4 linked regions of the Callithrix jacchus genome follow. The protein of the gene in region 3 binds, or shares a complex with, the protein of the main gene of each other region. Links are inferred from orthologs where the notes say so. Each region holds a gene or a part of one and is shown on either strand. Other genes may lie near its edges.

What was found.
Region 1: the proteins of WDR48 (region 3) and USP46 are in contact, whole or in part, in a crystal structure (PDB 6JLQ), measured with the Homo sapiens proteins. The link is inferred for Callithrix jacchus from reciprocal best matches to the Homo sapiens genes WDR48 and USP46. Residues at the interface, in NP_065890.1 of Homo sapiens: Arg50, Trp77, Asp118, Tyr119, Lys121, Leu137, Arg139, Ser170, Tyr172, Thr188, Asp211, Asn212, Lys214, Ser230, Gly254, Trp256, Arg272, Ile364, Leu424, Lys425, Gly521; in NP_073743.2 of Homo sapiens: Arg181, Leu183, Asn184, Cys185, Glu186, Thr187, Cys222, Ser223, Glu224, Lys226, Cys232, Cys233, Ser234, Lys235, Gln236, Glu237, Gln239.
Region 2: the proteins of WDR48 (region 3) and USP12 are in contact, whole or in part, in a crystal structure (PDB 5K1C), measured with the Homo sapiens proteins. The link is inferred for Callithrix jacchus from reciprocal best matches to the Homo sapiens genes WDR48 and USP12. Residues at the interface, in NP_065890.1 of Homo sapiens: Arg50, Trp77, Asp118, Tyr119, Lys121, Leu137, Ser170, Tyr172, Thr188, Asp211, Asn212, Lys214, Ser230, Gly254, Trp256, Arg272, Ile363, Ile364, Leu424, Lys425; in NP_872294.2 of Homo sapiens: Arg185, Leu187, Thr188, Cys189, Glu190, Thr191, Ser227, Lys230, Cys236, Arg237, Ser238, Lys239, Gln240, Glu241, His243.
Region 4: the proteins of WDR48 (region 3) and WDR20 are in contact, whole or in part, in a crystal structure (PDB 5K1C), measured with the Homo sapiens proteins. The link is inferred for Callithrix jacchus from reciprocal best matches to the Homo sapiens genes WDR48 and WDR20. Residues at the interface, in NP_065890.1 of Homo sapiens: Val191, Lys207, Gly208, Gly240, Gln241, Gln242, Arg243, Cys244, Ile245; in NP_653175.2 of Homo sapiens: Arg20, Ser364, Thr384, Glu385, Asp386, Glu524, Pro525, Leu526.

Annotation. Positions count from the first base shown.
Region 1 is NC_133504.1:144,023,711-144,027,270, forward strand, and holds part of USP46 (ubiquitin carboxyl-terminal hydrolase 46), read left to right. Parts: coding exon 1-174; intron 175-3,310; coding exon 3,311-3,389; intron 3,390-3,560. UniProt on the Homo sapiens protein: Deubiquitinating enzyme that plays a role in behavior, possibly by regulating GABA action. May act by mediating the deubiquitination of GAD1/GAD67.
Region 2 is NC_133506.1:146,334,767-146,338,939, forward strand, and holds the start of USP12 (ubiquitin carboxyl-terminal hydrolase 12), read right to left. Parts: upstream 2,831-4,173; 5' UTR 2,604-2,830; coding exon 2,556-2,603; intron 1-2,555. UniProt on the Homo sapiens protein: Deubiquitinating enzyme that plays various roles in the regulation of the immune response and inflammation.
Region 3 is NC_133518.1:76,908,829-76,912,888, forward strand, and holds the start of WDR48 (WD repeat-containing protein 48), read left to right. Parts: upstream 1-1,210; 5' UTR 1,211-1,227; coding exon 1,228-1,275; intron 1,276-4,060. UniProt on the Homo sapiens protein: Regulator of deubiquitinating complexes, which acts as a strong activator of USP1, USP12 and USP46. Enhances the USP1-mediated deubiquitination of FANCD2; USP1 being almost inactive by itself.
Region 4 is NC_133509.1:137,066,379-137,070,513, reverse strand, and holds the start of WDR20 (WD repeat-containing protein 20), read right to left. Parts: upstream 2,857-4,135; 5' UTR 2,830-2,856; coding exon 2,581-2,829; intron 1-2,580. UniProt on the Homo sapiens protein: Regulator of deubiquitinating complexes. Activates deubiquitinating activity of complexes containing USP12. Anchors at the base of the ubiquitin-contacting loop of USP12 and remotely modulates the catalytic center of the enzyme.

The sequences.
Region 1 (3,560 bases), on a different chromosome or scaffold from region 3:
GATCTTGGCCCTACATCTAAAGCGGTTCAAGTACATGGAACAGTTGCACAGATACACCAAGCTGTCTTACCGTGTGGTCTTCCCTCTGGAGCTCCGGCTCTTCAACACCTCCAGTGATGCAGTGAACCTGGACCGCATGTATGACCTGGTTGCTGTGGTTGTTCACTGTGGCAGGTAAGGGCACGACCGGAAGCAGGTGCACAGGGTAAGCGTAAGGTTACCCTTGGCTGAAATATATCCAGCTGCACCTTTCCTGTGCCATGGCACTAAGCGTTTTTGGGATCTCTTCCAAACTCTTACTAATCATCTCAATAAATACATAAACATGCCTACAGACACATTTAAAAAATAGCATTCCAACAGTGATCATCTAAATGTTCTGTTATGAGAGAAATAATAAATCTTCATTGCATAGAAATAATGGTTCTGAGGAATTTGAAATAACATGGAGAAACAAATGTCTATGCTATGATTTTAATTTTTAAAAAGCCAAGTTAGATTTACAGTATGATCTCAAAAGCATTTTAAGATGTGTAAATAAAGACTAGAAGCAATGGATCAAATTTAATAATCTTTGGCACTTGAGTGATTAAGAACATATTCTTAAAAAATATTCTTTGTTATTTTTGGTCTTTCCCCAAATTCTAAAATAAGTATATAATCAGAAAAAAGAAAGTAAGAGAGAGAAGGCCTCTAGATACGGAGAGGCAAAGCATTTTGCCGAAATTTGAGAAGATTTTTTTATTCCGTAATTTGGTATAAATGCAGAAGAATATACTGAAAATTCACCTGTTTGTTATTCTTTGCTCAGCTGGGACAGCTTTATGTGCTACCTTGCGGGTAGGCACAGCTTTCCTCCTGCCCTCCTAGGTTTTAGATTGGGGCCTATCACAGAGAAAGAGTCTTTTTCTCCATCTGCTGAGATGGATTATAGTGAACACATTACCAGAAGACTACCATTGCCACGTGGAGGGATGGATTAATTTGTTTTTTAATTGTGTGCTAGGGTGGATGTATCCGAAACTGTAACTTCATATCTGAAGCACCCCATATTTTGTCCTGTGTGTATTGACTTTAAGTCACTGGATATTTTCTTGTATTCTCAGTAAAATTGTATGTATGGGCTAGTTGTATACCTGTGTTGTGGTGTTCTTCCCTGAAGAACAGGTGTTACTCTTTTGAAGAGCACAGGTTTCCAGATCACTGGAACCTAGCCTTGAGCGCTGGGTGAGGCCTCACATTGGTGCAGGGTTGGAGAAGGTCTTAGGGCAGGCAGAGCCTGGGACCTGGTAGGCATTGCAGCTAAAGTGGGTGGCAGGGGTGGTGTGGATGGGAGGGCCTGCTGGGAAAGCTAGGCGAAGGAGAAACACAGGTGCCCCTTGCACGGGGGGCTCTGTGAGTATCTGATTTGAATCCTTGGGAGGACTGGCAGAGACCCATGTGAGGGAACTGAATGACCAGTGGGAGGTTGGGTTCTCTAAGGTCAGTTTCCGTAATGTGAGCACAAGGTAAGAAAGGCCCTGGCAGCAAAGATCAGTTGGTGCCAAATCAGGCATGCTACTAACTAGGATTCTTCAAACTCCTCCCAGCAGAAGTAGGGCCGTTCTCCTATGTGGAGTGGGGCTGGCCTGTGCATGGAGATTGGGTGGCTTCCAGGTGGCACTGGAAAGCTTTGAGGTTAGGGAGCTGGGCCTGCCTTACCTTCCATGCTCCTGGCCCATAGTTGCAGCAAGTGCACAACCTTGTGCATTGATTTCTGCTGCAGGTTTTTTTTTAAGCTCATGTTTTCTGGGTTCCATGCCAGGATCTGAAGGTAGAGTAACGAAAAGACACACAGCACAGGGGCCCTGCCATCACAAAGCTTACAATCTATCTGGAAATACTGATAATGAACAAAAAAAACCACACCACTCTATTATCACCAAAAATAAACCACTGCAAGATACTTTATGATTTTGATCAGTGCTATCAGGAATAAACAGGGAGATGAGTGAGTGGTGGGAGATACCTCTTCAGGTGAAGTGGTCAGCAGAGATTTATCTGGGGAGGTAACATCTGAGCTGAGGCATAAAAAGAATGCAGTTGGGGAAGGATCATCTCTGGCAGAGTTTACAGCAATGCAAAGGCCCACAATGTGAAGGGGGCATGTGTGAGAGGAGCCTGAGGAGCTGGAGCTCAGAGGAAAGGGAGACGTAGCTGGAGGAGGCTGGAGAAAGAGCAGAAACAGATCATTGGCATCATCTTGTGCTGAAAGAGGGTAAACAAAAGGGGAGGTTTTCTCAACTTTAACAGTGCATTAAAAAACAGTTCTAGGTTTAGGATTAAAATCCCCTTACTCGTGCAAATCTAACCTAACTACATAGTAACTGTTGCTTAGTTGTTCTTTCTGCTTTTTTCCATATAGCATACTGTATGGCTTTTTATTTTAATACTTGTTACTAAGCATCTTGGTTTGTTGATATTTTTCTAAAACAGATCATACAACTCCTTAAAATTCCCTTATCTTCCTGGCTTGCTCGAAGCAAAGCCTAAAATCTTACCTGCGATTTCTCCTGCACCTGCCCCTCAGTCCGCTCTGGTCTTCCTCTCCCCGCTCACTCTGCTGCTCTGGCCTCCTTTGGCCTCTCTGCTGTTTGTGAACACACCAAGTGTTACTCGCCTGCCCCAGGCCTTTCCACTTGTTATTCCCTATTTCTGAAACTTCCATCCAGAGCCGCATGGCTTCCCCCTACCCCCTGACCCCCTACCCCTACCCCTACTCCTATCCCTGCCATTTCCTTCAGGGAAATTTTCTTGTGCCCACATTATCCAAGTGGCCTCCCTTCACCGTCTATCAAATAACACCTCCTGCCATCGCTCAGATCCCATTACTCTGCTTCATCCTTCTCCATGACACTTCTCACCACTTGACCTAGATTTATAAGCTTAGTTTGTGTATTGCCAATCTAGCTCCTATCCCAAGTCCCAAATAAGTGAGGTCTTTGTTTTGTTCACTGCTTCTTCTCCTGACAGCTAGAATAGGGCCCAACACAGAGTAGGTAGAGAGTAATGTTTTGTTAATATTTGCTGAATCTGAGTGTCTGTTTTTCCTGCTGGATTATGAGTCCTTAGAAGATACCTCTCCTGCGCACTTTTGTATTCCCCTACATCCAGCATGGTGTTGTGGACATAGACATGGGCTCTATGCCAAGATCTTTGTCCTGATAACTTAGTTTTCCCCCCAGAGAATCACTGCTTGTAAAGAGCTCAGTAGTGTTTTATAAAGAGATCAATGTTAACATGCTAACTTCTTTTATTTGTTCTTTTCCAGTGGTCCTAATCGTGGGCATTATATCACTATTGTGAAAAGTCACGGCTTCTGGCTTTTGTTTGATGATGACATTGTAGAGGTTGGTTTGCAGATTATTCTCCAGTAGTCACAGGGCATCAATAGTATTTCGGGGAATGTGTATATATAGACGTTTTTTAAAGTAGGCCTGTTTCCTCATAATGTAACTTGAAGACCACTTACATTTCTATTCAAAACCAAATTCTGCTGATCCCCATGCTCTGTGGAAAGG
Region 2 (4,173 bases), on a different chromosome or scaffold from region 3:
ATTCCACACACACACCCAGTATCATCCCTGCTTCACCCGGCATTCCAGGAGATAGGAAGGACTTTTAACACTTTTATACTGAATGCAGAACTTAGTACTCCAGATCAAACTGTAGAAGTAAATGTAAATGATAGTCTGATAGTTCTTCCCCTTCAAGGCCCTCACAACTGAGTAAGAGTTCAAAGAAAAATATACTACACAGTTTAAATATGATAGGTGCTACTGACATTTCAAAAATGGCATGAAGTTGTATGAGGGGGATGGAGGGTTGGGTTGGAGAGGGGTAGGATTATTCAAGTAAAGCTCCCTGCTTAAGAGGTACACATCCTCGCAATACAAGGATGGGGGGTAGGGCAGAGGAAGCATTCCAAGCCTAGCAAAACGGCACCTACAAAGCTAAAGAGGTATCTTTGTTTTTCAATTTTGTGATTCTCAAGAGGACAGATAGCATTTTCTTTAAAGAATAAGACTGCAAACTACTTTGAGATATTTAGCACTATTTGAGGGTACATTAGAATGTATTCAAATACGAATAAAGACACACCCAATTTTAATAGTACCTTTTGAACAATCTCGTTCGGCCAGGCACTTTCAGTATTTGCCAACAATACACACACCCCACCTGTAATTAATGCATCTGGGTGGAAGCCCTAGAAAGAGCTCCCGATTCTGATCTTGGAGATCAGAATCCCACTTACTAAGTGTGCGACGCTGGCAAATCCCTGTGTCTCACTGTCCTAATGTGATTACAGCACATATTTATTAATATATTAATTTAAATACAGTTTGTGTCCATGAAGAACGTAAACACCATGAAAGCCGGGGCTATCCTGACCACTACAGCATCCCCAGCACTCAGCCCCACCTCTAGCACCTAGTAGCTGCTAAACGTAGATGTACAGTACCTGAGTGAATGAATAAGAGTATCACACCACTCCTGAAATCCCATTCTTTGACAGTGAACTATGATCATTACAATGTGTGTAGATCAGCAATCTGGTATCACTGTAAAAGACCTAATTATCGCATTCTTTTGAAACTGAGTAAGATAATAATTGGCGTATCTGAAAATAATTAGCCCAAACAATTCTTGAAAATCACTTTAAAATAGTCCATTTAATACCAATGCCTTCCTAAAACGTAAACTTTGAGAAAGAACCACCATCCAGTTGGGAAATGGAGTCTTCAATATGATTTCTTAAATATTGTCGATTTTATGTCCAGCTGATTTCAGCCATTTTTTGTACTGTTCCTCAGCATGCAGTAGAGAATCTGCTTTTAAAGCATCTTTCCGATCAGATTCACCACTCCTCAAAGAAAAATATACACAATGGACCATCCTTAGATGGAAAATTGCTTGAGGCTCTCCTATATGAAATCGGTTGCATAAATAGGGCCAGTGAGGCATCAAACACAAGCTTTCAGAAGTCTTTAATAACAACCAATAGGTCCACGTTGCAAAGAACAACTTTTTTCGGTGATGACTCATAAATTATGATCCCTACATATAAGCTCATGAGGCGCTAATGAAACGAATTTGTCTCATCATGTGGAAAACTGTGGTCCTTCTGGCCAAGCACAAAACACCAAGTTTTAAACGCGCCCACGTTTTGCTTAATTCGGGACTTCCAGCGAGGATTAGCGCTTTTCCTTTATAGTCTATTTAAGCGCCCTAAGAAAACAAATATCATCGCATTGGCAGGCGGTCCCCGCACACAGACAGACGTAGCTTCACCACATACAGATGTGTCTGGTGGGCCGAAGTAAACAAATGACAGGAAAGCTAATGCTTTTAAAGATTAACGTGCATTCCCACAGACAAGACTGCCACCTGGACACACGGCTGGAAACGAGAGCTCGTGCCTCTCCGAAGAGAAAAATGGAGAGAATTTCAACAACACTTATTTAAAGTTTCCATCTTTACATACGCCCCTTTCCGCCAGCGCGGGGTCGGGGACTCGGCCCGGCCAGCGGCGCGAGGAAATCTGCACTTGACTTCCGTCCTCTCCCTGGCGGGAAAGAGCGCAGCCCGCCCCGGCAGAGACCCTTCCTTCCTGCCCGCCGACCCCCACCCCGCCCGGGGACACCTCCCTCTCGGCGCGCGGCCAGGAGGAAATGGAGCCCTCGCGGCTCCGCAGCTCCTCGCCCCCTCCTCGGCGACCCTGGCCCAGGGCCGCGCTCGGGCTCCTGCGCGCCCACCCGCTGCCCCGCCACAGGCCAGGCGCGCTTCGGCCCTTGGCCCGGCGCGGACACCAGCAGTTCGGTCGGGGACTCCCGGAGGCCAGTGCCCACCCCTCGCCGCGTCCCGCACCGTGGGCCCCTCACCGCCACCCTCGCGCAGCCCCGGCCCGCCAGGCGGCGCCCCCTCCCCGGACGCCTGGGCCGCTCACCCCCGCGCTCCCCGCCCGAGCGCCGTCCGACCGCCCCCACCCGGGCCGCCCGCACGCCCGCCCCCGCGCTAGGCCCCGCGAGCGGCCACAGGGAGAAACGGGTCCAGCGCCGTCCGCCCGCCCGAGAGGTCCCGGCTGCCCCTGCCGCCCGCCCGCTGCACCTACCATGGTACAGATGGAGGCGAATTTGGAGACTGTCATTAGGATTTCCATCCGCCCAGCGCCATCTTCCACCCAATCACAGCGGCGGCGGCGGGCGGGGGATGAGGGGAGCCGGGCCGCCCGCTCGCACTGCAGCCCGCGGGCGGACCCCGAGCCGCAGCGGACCCACGCACCGAGCCCGCTGGGCCGCCGCTGCCGTCGTCGCCGCCGGCGCTCAGGCACTCCCGGCCTCGGGCCCCAGCCCCCCGCCTGCCGGCCGCCGGCCCGCCCCCGGCTCCGCCCCGGCGCAGGGCGCAGCCGCTGCCTCCGGGCCCGCGCCTGCCCGCGAAGCCGCCCGCCGCCCACCCCGCCCAGCGCGCAGGGGAGCGGACTCCGCTGAGGCCCTAATGCCCGGCCTGCCAGGCAGCAGCGCGGCCCGGCGGCGCAGCCCCGCCCACCCCTCGGCGCCCCCCTCGGCGGCCCGGGAGCGCGAGCCAAGGAACTCCTGCCCGGCCCCACCCCGCGCGAGGCCGAGGGCGGGACCGAGGGCGGGCACTGTCTTTTGCCTGCGTCCCTGCGGTCCTAGTGCCGGGCGCCCGAGCCCCCTCGTAGGAAGAGGGGCGGCGAGGAGTCGCGGGGGCGGCTGCGGCGACCTGGGAGAACCCGGGAGGGGCCAGACTGCGACACCCACCGCGGGCGAGGCTATAGTGATCTCCCGCTGCCTAAACAGAAAACGGAGGCGATGATCTGGGTAACTTCGTGCGGAGTGGGAGGAAACATGCTCTGCACAGTTAAGATAACCCAGGTATGCGTCCCAAGAACTTGGTTTCTTTTTCCGTGTATTGGATGAATTCCTGGAGTCAAACACAACTTAGAAAAAGACAAAATAATCAAATAAAAATGAAGCGGCAAAGAACAAATTACACGTTTAACTCTTTGAATTAAGAAGAAAGATAAGTAATGGGGGAAGTGGGGAGAGCAACGAATCCTGTCGGCCTGTTGCCCATAAATTTAGAATAGGTTTCTAAATATCTGCACATTGTGCTACAGAATAGAGAAGATCTCAAGCCAGCAGTGATGATGATATTACCAGAAACAAGAAGCCCGCAAGCAAGAAAAATGCCCTGTGAGAAATCCTCAGGCAGTGCTGGCTACTGGCATGGGTAGTTCCTCTTTTCTCCTCTTATAAAATTCATCATTGCACCCAGTTCATCGTGTCTGGCAGCTCAGCTTTATTTTTTCCTATTTGAGAAAGTAGTTCAAGTGAGTGGAATAGCTTCATAAATTATGATGTTAAAAAGCTCTTTTTTTTTGAGACACAGTCTCTGTCGCCCAGGCTGGAGTGCAATGGCGTGTTCCTGGCTCACCGCAACCCCTGCCTCCCAGGTTCAAGCGTTTCTCCTGCCTTACCCTCCCCAGTAGCTGGGGTTACAGGCGTGTGGCACCACGTCGGGCTAATTTTTGTATTTTTTTAGTAGAGACGGGGTTTCACCATGTTGGTCAGGCTGGTCATGAACTCCTGACCTCGTGATCCGCCCGCTTCGGCCTCCCAAAGTGCTGGGATTACAGGCTTGAGCCACCGCGCCCGACCCGTGATATTTTCTAATTGCTGAAGTGATGGGGTACTTTTCTGGGTTCCCCT
Region 3 (4,060 bases):
AATTCGGGGGTAGTTTACAATTACTTATCTTAACTGGAACTAGCTATATTTCAAGTGCTCAAGAGCCACAGATGACTAGCGGATACCACATCATATGCTATATCCCACAGTGTAGTTCTACAGGATTCACTTTCAGTAGAGAGGATCTCATCACCCTCAGCTCCTATAATTATTGTCAGGAAAACCACCTGAAGTCAAACTTTCACCCAGACGGGCCTAACTATTCCAGTACAAGAGATGATTTACACCAGACCCGGGTTTTCAGTTCAGGATTTGGAACTGAGTTGTCTCTGGGAACGATTTTAGCTGGTGTTACCCTTTTCACCTTCCTGTAACATTTTTTTTTTTTTTTTGGAAATTTTAAGTTCAGGGGTACAAGTGCAGGTTTATTATGTAGGTAAACTTGTGTCATGGGGGTTTGTTGTGCAGACTATTTCGTCACCCAGGTATTAAGCCTAGTACCCAATAGCTATTATTCCAGATCCCACCCTCCACCCTCCGAAAGGCCCGTGAGTGTTGTTCCCCTCTTTGCGTCCATGTGTTCTCATCATTTAGTTCCCACTTATAAGTGAGAACGTGTGGTATTCGGTTTTCTGTTCCTTTGTTAGTTTGCTTAAGGATAATAGCCTCCAACTCCATCATGTCCTTGCAAAGGACATGATCATGTTCTTTTTTATGGCTGCAGCTTTTAATCTTTTAATTTAAATGGATTCTTTGCTCCTCCTGAAGATGGAGGCCATCTCCTTTGCAAGGGCTTCTATTTCTCCCTCTTTGATACCAAGATACAATTTCCGCATTTTTAGGTACTTCATAGTAAATCAGTTGGTTCCCCTGCCTGCCGAGGAAAGGTCAGGGGGCTTGTGTAGCGCCACGTCCAGCACTGTTAATTCTTTCAGCGCTTTCGCTTAGCTTGGGCCTCTGGGGGAGCACTCGGAAAACAGCACACGCCAGGGTCTGGGACCACACAGAACCGGATTCGGATTTGCTCCCTCAGCCCTGAAAAGTGGCTCTCTCCCCATCAGCATTATTTGCACAACGGTTTTGTTTTTGGGTGCATCTACCTCACCGCACGCCGGCCATAGAGCAACAAACAGCAAGCACCTAGGGAACACTCGCACCTTCTACTCCTTCAGCCCCGCCACGAACCCTTGGCCAAAGGGAAGGGGGCAGGACATCCGCCCGGTCTCAGCCACCTCCGGAAGTGACGTCTGAGTGTCAACATGCAAGATGGCGGCCCATCACCGGCAGAACACGGCAGGGCGGAGGAAAGTGCAGGTATGGAAGCCTGGTTCCTCGGCCTTCCGGACGAGGCAGGCAGCTCCGGGCCCACTCGACCTAGCAGGTGCCCGGGGCCGCGGCTGGCTGGGGTAGCGGCATGGGGCGAACGGGGCGGGGCGCGGCCGGCCGCGAGGGGTGGGGCCGCGGCGCTAACGGCTCGAGGAAGGGGCGGGGGTCGGCCTACTTGGCCTGGGGGCCCAGGCCCGGGACCCTCGCGGGTGGCAATCTGAGCCCTATATTGCTGGTCGCCGCTCTTCTGTGGGAATAGACTTGCGGAGTCGGGATAGGCTCGTTCCCCGCCCACCTGCCTCCCCCTTCCCCTGCGTTTCTCCGAAGCGCTCTGCCCGCGCTGCGTCCTACCGGAGGCCTCCAGGGGTTTCCCGGGGGGTGGGCGTTGGAGGAGTGAGTGGCCTGTGCGGGGGCGTGGCGAGGTGGCGGAGCGCCAACGGCCCTGCGGGGTTTCTGCAGTGGATTCCGCACCTGGGAGCCCCCAGCCCTCGCTTATGTTGGGCTTGTCCCCTGGGTAGGTGGGAATGACAGAATGTGCATGGGGAAATTATAATTTTAATTGTTTTGGAATTTGGAATTTAAGTTCGGCTTCATTTCTTCATCTTCAGTGTGCATCGCTGAATCTTTATTGTTTGTATAATTTATTGTACATGTGGTAAAGAGTTGTCTAATCCTACCGTGTGTGCCTTGTGCCTTATGCCTTTGTGAATTCACTTTTGTTTGGTGGTACGCTGAAGAGTTATTGCCACTTAGTGTTTTCAGTGATGCAGGGAATAGAAGCCCTATTACAGGTGTTTTCCTGCAGGTGTATTGTACGTAGTAGTGGCAGTTTGGCACTTAGATTGCCCCCTCCTCCCCCGTGTAGGAATAAGTAACACCTAGGCTTTTTTTTTTTTTTTTTTAATAAAACAGCATTATTTGGAGTTCTGCAGATTGAAATCAAGTGTCAGTTGAAGGTAGTCAGATAAAGGGGTCCTTCAGTAAGATAATCCCAGCAGAAAGTGGGAGGCCATAAAGTCTTCTGAGTAGTTCACATCTTGGGTTTTATTCATCGCACTGATCAGTGCAGTCTCTTAAGCACTCACTAGATGTTTGTTGAATTGAGTGAAATTAATAAGAGTCTAAACTCACCCCTGTTAGGTGAGGTTTTCAGTGCATTAGTGATGGAATTTAAGTATCACCAGCATCCAGGGCAGGTAGTGAGAATGTCTCCTAGGGACTGAAATATAACTCAAAATTGTGATCTGATTGTATGATAGACTCTGTGGTGATATACTCCTTAGGGGAGTAAGGGTAGTTAATCAGGCCTGTCAGTTTATTGCTTTAAGACTTAAAAGTCCTATGACTGCAGTGTTCTCCCTGCTTCCTCTCTCCCAGGCCTGCCCACTCCCAAAATATGTGCAATAAAGTATATATATTTTAAAAAGACTTACAAGGCAATTGTACTAGTATGGACTGGGGTGAATGTAAATTAACTGCAGCAGGTTTGGAAAAACCGTGTTTCAATAGGCCGAATGTGAGCCAGTGCACACAGAATGAGGCAGGTGATAGATAAGTCTGCCTTTCAGTGGTCAGAGTACAAAATTAGAGTTTGGTGTTCTGCACTTAGAACCTTGCTCTTCATAGGTAGCAATCAGATTGGTGAACTGACTTGAAATTATTTCCTATGAAGAATTTTTGAAAGGGCTGTCTAAGATTAACCTGCTGAAGAGAAGATTCAGCAGGAGCGTTTGGAATTTGTCCCCAAGGTATAGAAGCAGCCTGAGAAGCCACAGGGATTGATTTCATTGGAAACATCATTGTCTGTGAGTGTTTTTTAAACCAGTGCGTGTTCATTGTAAACAGCCAACAAACAAAAGTATAAATTACTTTTATACTTGGAGTTGCCCTCCATGCTTCCAAGAAGGCTACTGTGGGCAATGTCGTGTTTGAATCTTAGACCAGAGTTAAACAGCCTGAGCATTCTTGACATTTTCGTCTGGATAGTTCTTCGTTGTGTCTGAGGGAGGGAGCTGTCCTGCAACTCACATTGTTTAGGATCATCCCTTGGTTCTACCAACTAGATGTAGTAGCATCTCCCCAGTTGTGACAACTAAAAATGTCTCCAGACAAATGTTCCCTCAAGGGCAAAACTGCATCTGGTTGAGAACCACTGTTCTGTACCTCTTCCTGTTTGTGTACCTGACTTAATGGGATTTTTTTTTTTTTTTTTTTTTTTTTTTTGCTATAAATGGAGCCATAGTATTCACTGTTTTGTGTCTTCCTTTGTCAAATTTATAAATAAACATCCCCTTTGGCCCAGAATTCCTTATCTAAAAATATATTCTACAAAATTGCATATGCATATATCTATCCCTGCTTATGCAAGGGTGTTGTGTGAAGCCATTATTGAATTGCTATAAAGAAATACCTCAGACTGGGTAATTTATAAAGAAAAGAGGCACAATTGGCTCACAGTTCTGCAGGCTTTACAATAAGTATGGTGCTGGATCTGCTCATCTTCCAGGGAGGCCTCAGAGAGAGTGAGTCTAAAAAGCAAGTCAGCATGGCCTGATCCCATTTCCACAAAGGGAAATGCATTTTAAACGTCTGAAAGGGTAATAGCAGTGATTATCCCTTTGGGAATAGATTGTATGATTATAGATAAGACAGGACATGGGATATCTTTTAGTGTGAAATATACACAGACCTTGGTATTTTTGAACTTTTTACCACATTATTTACTCTTACTCATTTTGGAAAAGGCATATATGGGTACTTGGAGTAAATATAC
Region 4 (4,135 bases), on a different chromosome or scaffold from region 3:
ACCACATGAAAATGAAATCCTACCCCCCAAAACACGTTAAAACACTCGAATTGTGCAGGTAAGGGCAATTTACGTATTTCAGATTTATCTTATTTAAAATAATTTTTTGATATAGCTTTAAAAACCTTGCCTACTTCTATCCTTCCGTGAATAGCGTTCCACTAAAAGAGAACACTATTACAATGATACTCCCAGGCAAGAAACCTGTCTTTATGAGGTAAACCAGGGCTACCAGATCCAGATAAGGTTTGCCACTAGGATGCTTCTAAGGTAATAACCTTTGAAAGAAAAAAAAAAAACTTGTTGAGGGTGGGATGGAGTCTAGCTCTGTCACCCAGGCTGCAGTGAAGTGGCACAATCTCAGCTCACGACAACCTCCGCCTCCCGGGTTCAAGAGGTATCTCCTGCCTCAGCCTCCTGAGTAGCTGGGATTACAGGCACACGCCATCATGCCTGGCTAAGTTTTGCATTTTCAGTAGAGACGGGGTTTCACCATGTTGGCCAGGCTGGTCTTGAACTCCTGACCTCAGATGATCCATCTGCCTTGACCTCCCAAAGTGCTGGGATTACAGGCGTGAACCACCGCACCCAGCCAGAAAACTTTTTTTTAAAGTAATGCCTGCATTAATAATTGCTAGTTAATTTAGTTTTTAGGCACACTGTATTTTTAAAACTTAAAATTCTAACTTAATTTCCAGAGACAAAATTGATCCTTTCACTCTGAATATCAACGTCAAGATGGCAGCTTCTTATTTGACAGTTACTCTTAGTATTTAACTATATTTTACATATACTGAGTGTTCATTACAGTTACTATATTATTATTATTTTTTGAGACAGAGTTTCACTCTTGTTGCCCAGGATAGAGCGCAATGGTGCAATCTCAGCTCACTGCAACCTCTGCCTTCCGAGTTCTAGTGATTCTCCTGCCTCAGCCTCCCAAGCAGCTAGGATTACAGGCATGCACCACCACGCCCGGCTAATTTTGTATTTTTAGTAGAGATGGGGTTTTTCCACGTTGGTCAGGCTGGTCTCGAACTCCCGACATCAGATGATCCCTCTGCCTTGGCCTCCCAAAGTGCTGGGATTACAGGCATGAGCCACACCCGGCCAGAGTTATTATATTATTAATTACAACATATGCACTGTAACATTCCCTTTTCAAAGAGGTGAAAATATAAGTTAAATAAGTTATCCAAGGTCACCCAACAAGTGACAATGTTGGGAGTAGGAGTAAAACTTCAGCTCGTAGACTGAAGGCAACTTCAAGCTTTTGCAATACCAAAAGAGAAAAAAAAAAAAAAAAAAGGTCAAGCGATTTACCTTCAATAACTTCCAACAGCATACCCTAAACACTTAAAAGATTCACCCTGAAAGAAACAACTTGCTACATTTAGATACCACTGTCATTTCCCCAGCTCTTTTAACAAGCAAAAATCCTGTACTGGATCTGGCTATATTAAATTCTAGGGAATGTTCACTCTTCGCTATGTACAATTTATTTTCATGCTAACATACATTTACGAATTAATCTTTTATCACCTTGTCCCATTTGGAGGTGGTGTGGGATGCATTAATTTCCTCACTCTTCCATGAAATCAAGTCAAAGACTACAATCTCAAAAATAGCAATTCTCAGTGAAAACATAGTTACATAGTCAACGAAAGAAAAGCTCTAATAAATTGCTGCTTTTAAAGAGATACTTTTAAAGGATGCTTACAGGCTTCACAGAATTACTGGTACCTCACCCGCCAAGAAGGATGGCCCCTTTAAAGTAGCTTTTAAGGCATATTCCTCCCTACTTGGGACACAGTCTGACTTGTTGGACAAGATTAATCTGGGCACTCACACACCACCCCTCTGAACCTGGACACATTATTGCAACAACTGTGGTACTCAGCCCTTCTCATACTACAGGGACAGACAAGATGACCCTTCTTAACAATCTTTGAGAAGGTCCCCTCGGAGGAGACAGTGACAGCCGTCCTCCCGCGGATGTTTTCGGAAATAGAAGTGTTAATACCAAAAGAAGCTCCTAGGAAGTGTCAGTGCGGCAGCAGGTGGAGTAGCCCTGCGTGCCGAGCAGGTTCTTTCTGACCTAGTCTCGGTCCTCCGCTCCCCGGCCCGGGTTCCGCCTTGCGGAGATCCTGCTAAGCCGTCTTGCGCCCCTGTTCTCTAACCCAGGGAAAGACTTCCAACCCTCCAGGGAGGCGAGACAATCGAAGCAGACAAGACGGCCACCCCACCTCTTCCGGGGACTCGCAGGCCCGCTCCCTGGCCATGTCAGAGCCTGACGGACCAGGCTGGAGGGGACGCAGCCGGCTCCTCCGGGAGACTCCCAGGCGGAACCCCGCGCCCCACGGTCCCTTTCCACAGCCCCCACTCCTTCGAAACGCCACCGCCACCACCCTCCTCACTCCTGAATCCCCTCTCCTCAGGAGCACCCCAGTGGAGTTACCGGCCCACTCAAAAGTAAGAGCGACGGCCACCCATCTCGGTCACCCTGGCCCCGCTGTCACCGCCCTGCTCCCGGCCTCTGCCCACGCCGCTGGCGGGCCCCGGTGACGCCCGGGTCGGTACCTTGCGGACCCCCTTGTAGATATAGAAGTAGAGCTCCCGGCCCACATTGAAGCAGAGGCGGTCGCCGTTGCCAGACTGGTCGTTGAGGTTTACGAAGGAGACGCGGACAGGGTTGGATCCCTGCGAGTTGAAGGGCACCCGGTTGGGCCGGCTGTACTCCGAGTGCGGCAGCAGCTTGTAGAGACCTTCCCGGGTAGTGAATTGGGTCTTAATCTCGTTCATCTCCTTCCCTCCTCCCTCCGTCGCCATCTTGGAAAGCAGCGTTCATCCTGCCCTAAGTGCCCGGATCACGCCCACCGCGCAGGCGCCGTTCCTGCTGCTCGCTCTTCCCCCACCCCGCCTCTTCCTTCTCGCCCCTCCCACCCGCGGGCCAGCCCCACGAAGGCGGGCCGAAGAGAAGGGGCGGGCTTGTTTACGGCCCGACTGCGCAGGCGTGCTCACCTGGCGCGCTCCACGCGGCGGGGCGTCCGCAAGCTCCTCCCTTGGGCGTGGCTTCCGGGCTGCTGGGCTGCTTCCCAGGTGAAGCCGGCTCCCGCTTGGGGGCTCAGGTTGCTCATTCCGCATCCGCCCGGGCAGACGGAAAGCCGGACCGGGGAAGCCGCGGCGGGCCTTGCGTCCGGAGCTTGAGGCGAACTTGAGGGCGCCTCCTCAGCTGTCTCCCGCCCTGCCCTGAGGGGTACCGGGACCCCGAAGAGAAGAGCGCCACCCCGACTGCCACTGCTTCGGGGCCAGCACGCGGGGTCCCCTGCCGGGAGCTGGGACGGCTCCAGCCCTCCTGCGCCCTCCCTTCGGGACGGGGACTGTCCCGCCTAGAGGGCTCGAGGACTCGCGCGACCGTCTGGATCCCCTGTCCGGAAGCCCCTGTGAAGCCTCCTCCCCGCCGTTTCTGAGAAGGTACCGAAGGACTCAAGATTTACGCTTCACTGTGTGTGTGTTTTTTAGGCGGGGTGGGGAGAGAGAAGAACGTGGCAGCGCACGGGTATTCTCAAGCCAGATGTCCTTTTCCTGCGTGGTGAGCACTGGCGGCCTCCGCTTCTTAGCGAAGGTTTGTCCTCACCGGCTGTTCCTAGACGGGGGGCGGGGCGGGAAGCGCTTTGGGAACTGCGGACTGCGTCTGTGCAGGATTCACGTCTGCTGCTCAGTGGTTTATGAACAGCTCTTAATAACATTTAAGGTAATTGATTCTTTTTCAGAAGCCTCAAGCGGAGTCTGTAAGACTGTTTACTAGGAGATCCGTAGGGATAGTGGTATGCATGTAATGCACGGGGTCTAGATTTGTAAGGACGGGCACGCGTGCCAACGCAAGATGAAACAGTCACTATTTTATACCTGGGTTTCTTGGCGTGTTGCACCAGAATAAGAAAGTTTCTAAAGTGACAAACATTCTGATAGGATTCCAGGGTGGGGGGGGGGGGGGAACCAACATTTGTAACACTGAAATTGAACTATTCCTGAAGGTTCAGATTAGATCTGGAGGGTCACAAAGGAAGCGAACGGGAGCAATTTCCAAAGTAGGAGAAGTCTAAATCATAAACATTTTCTGTACCACAAAGCA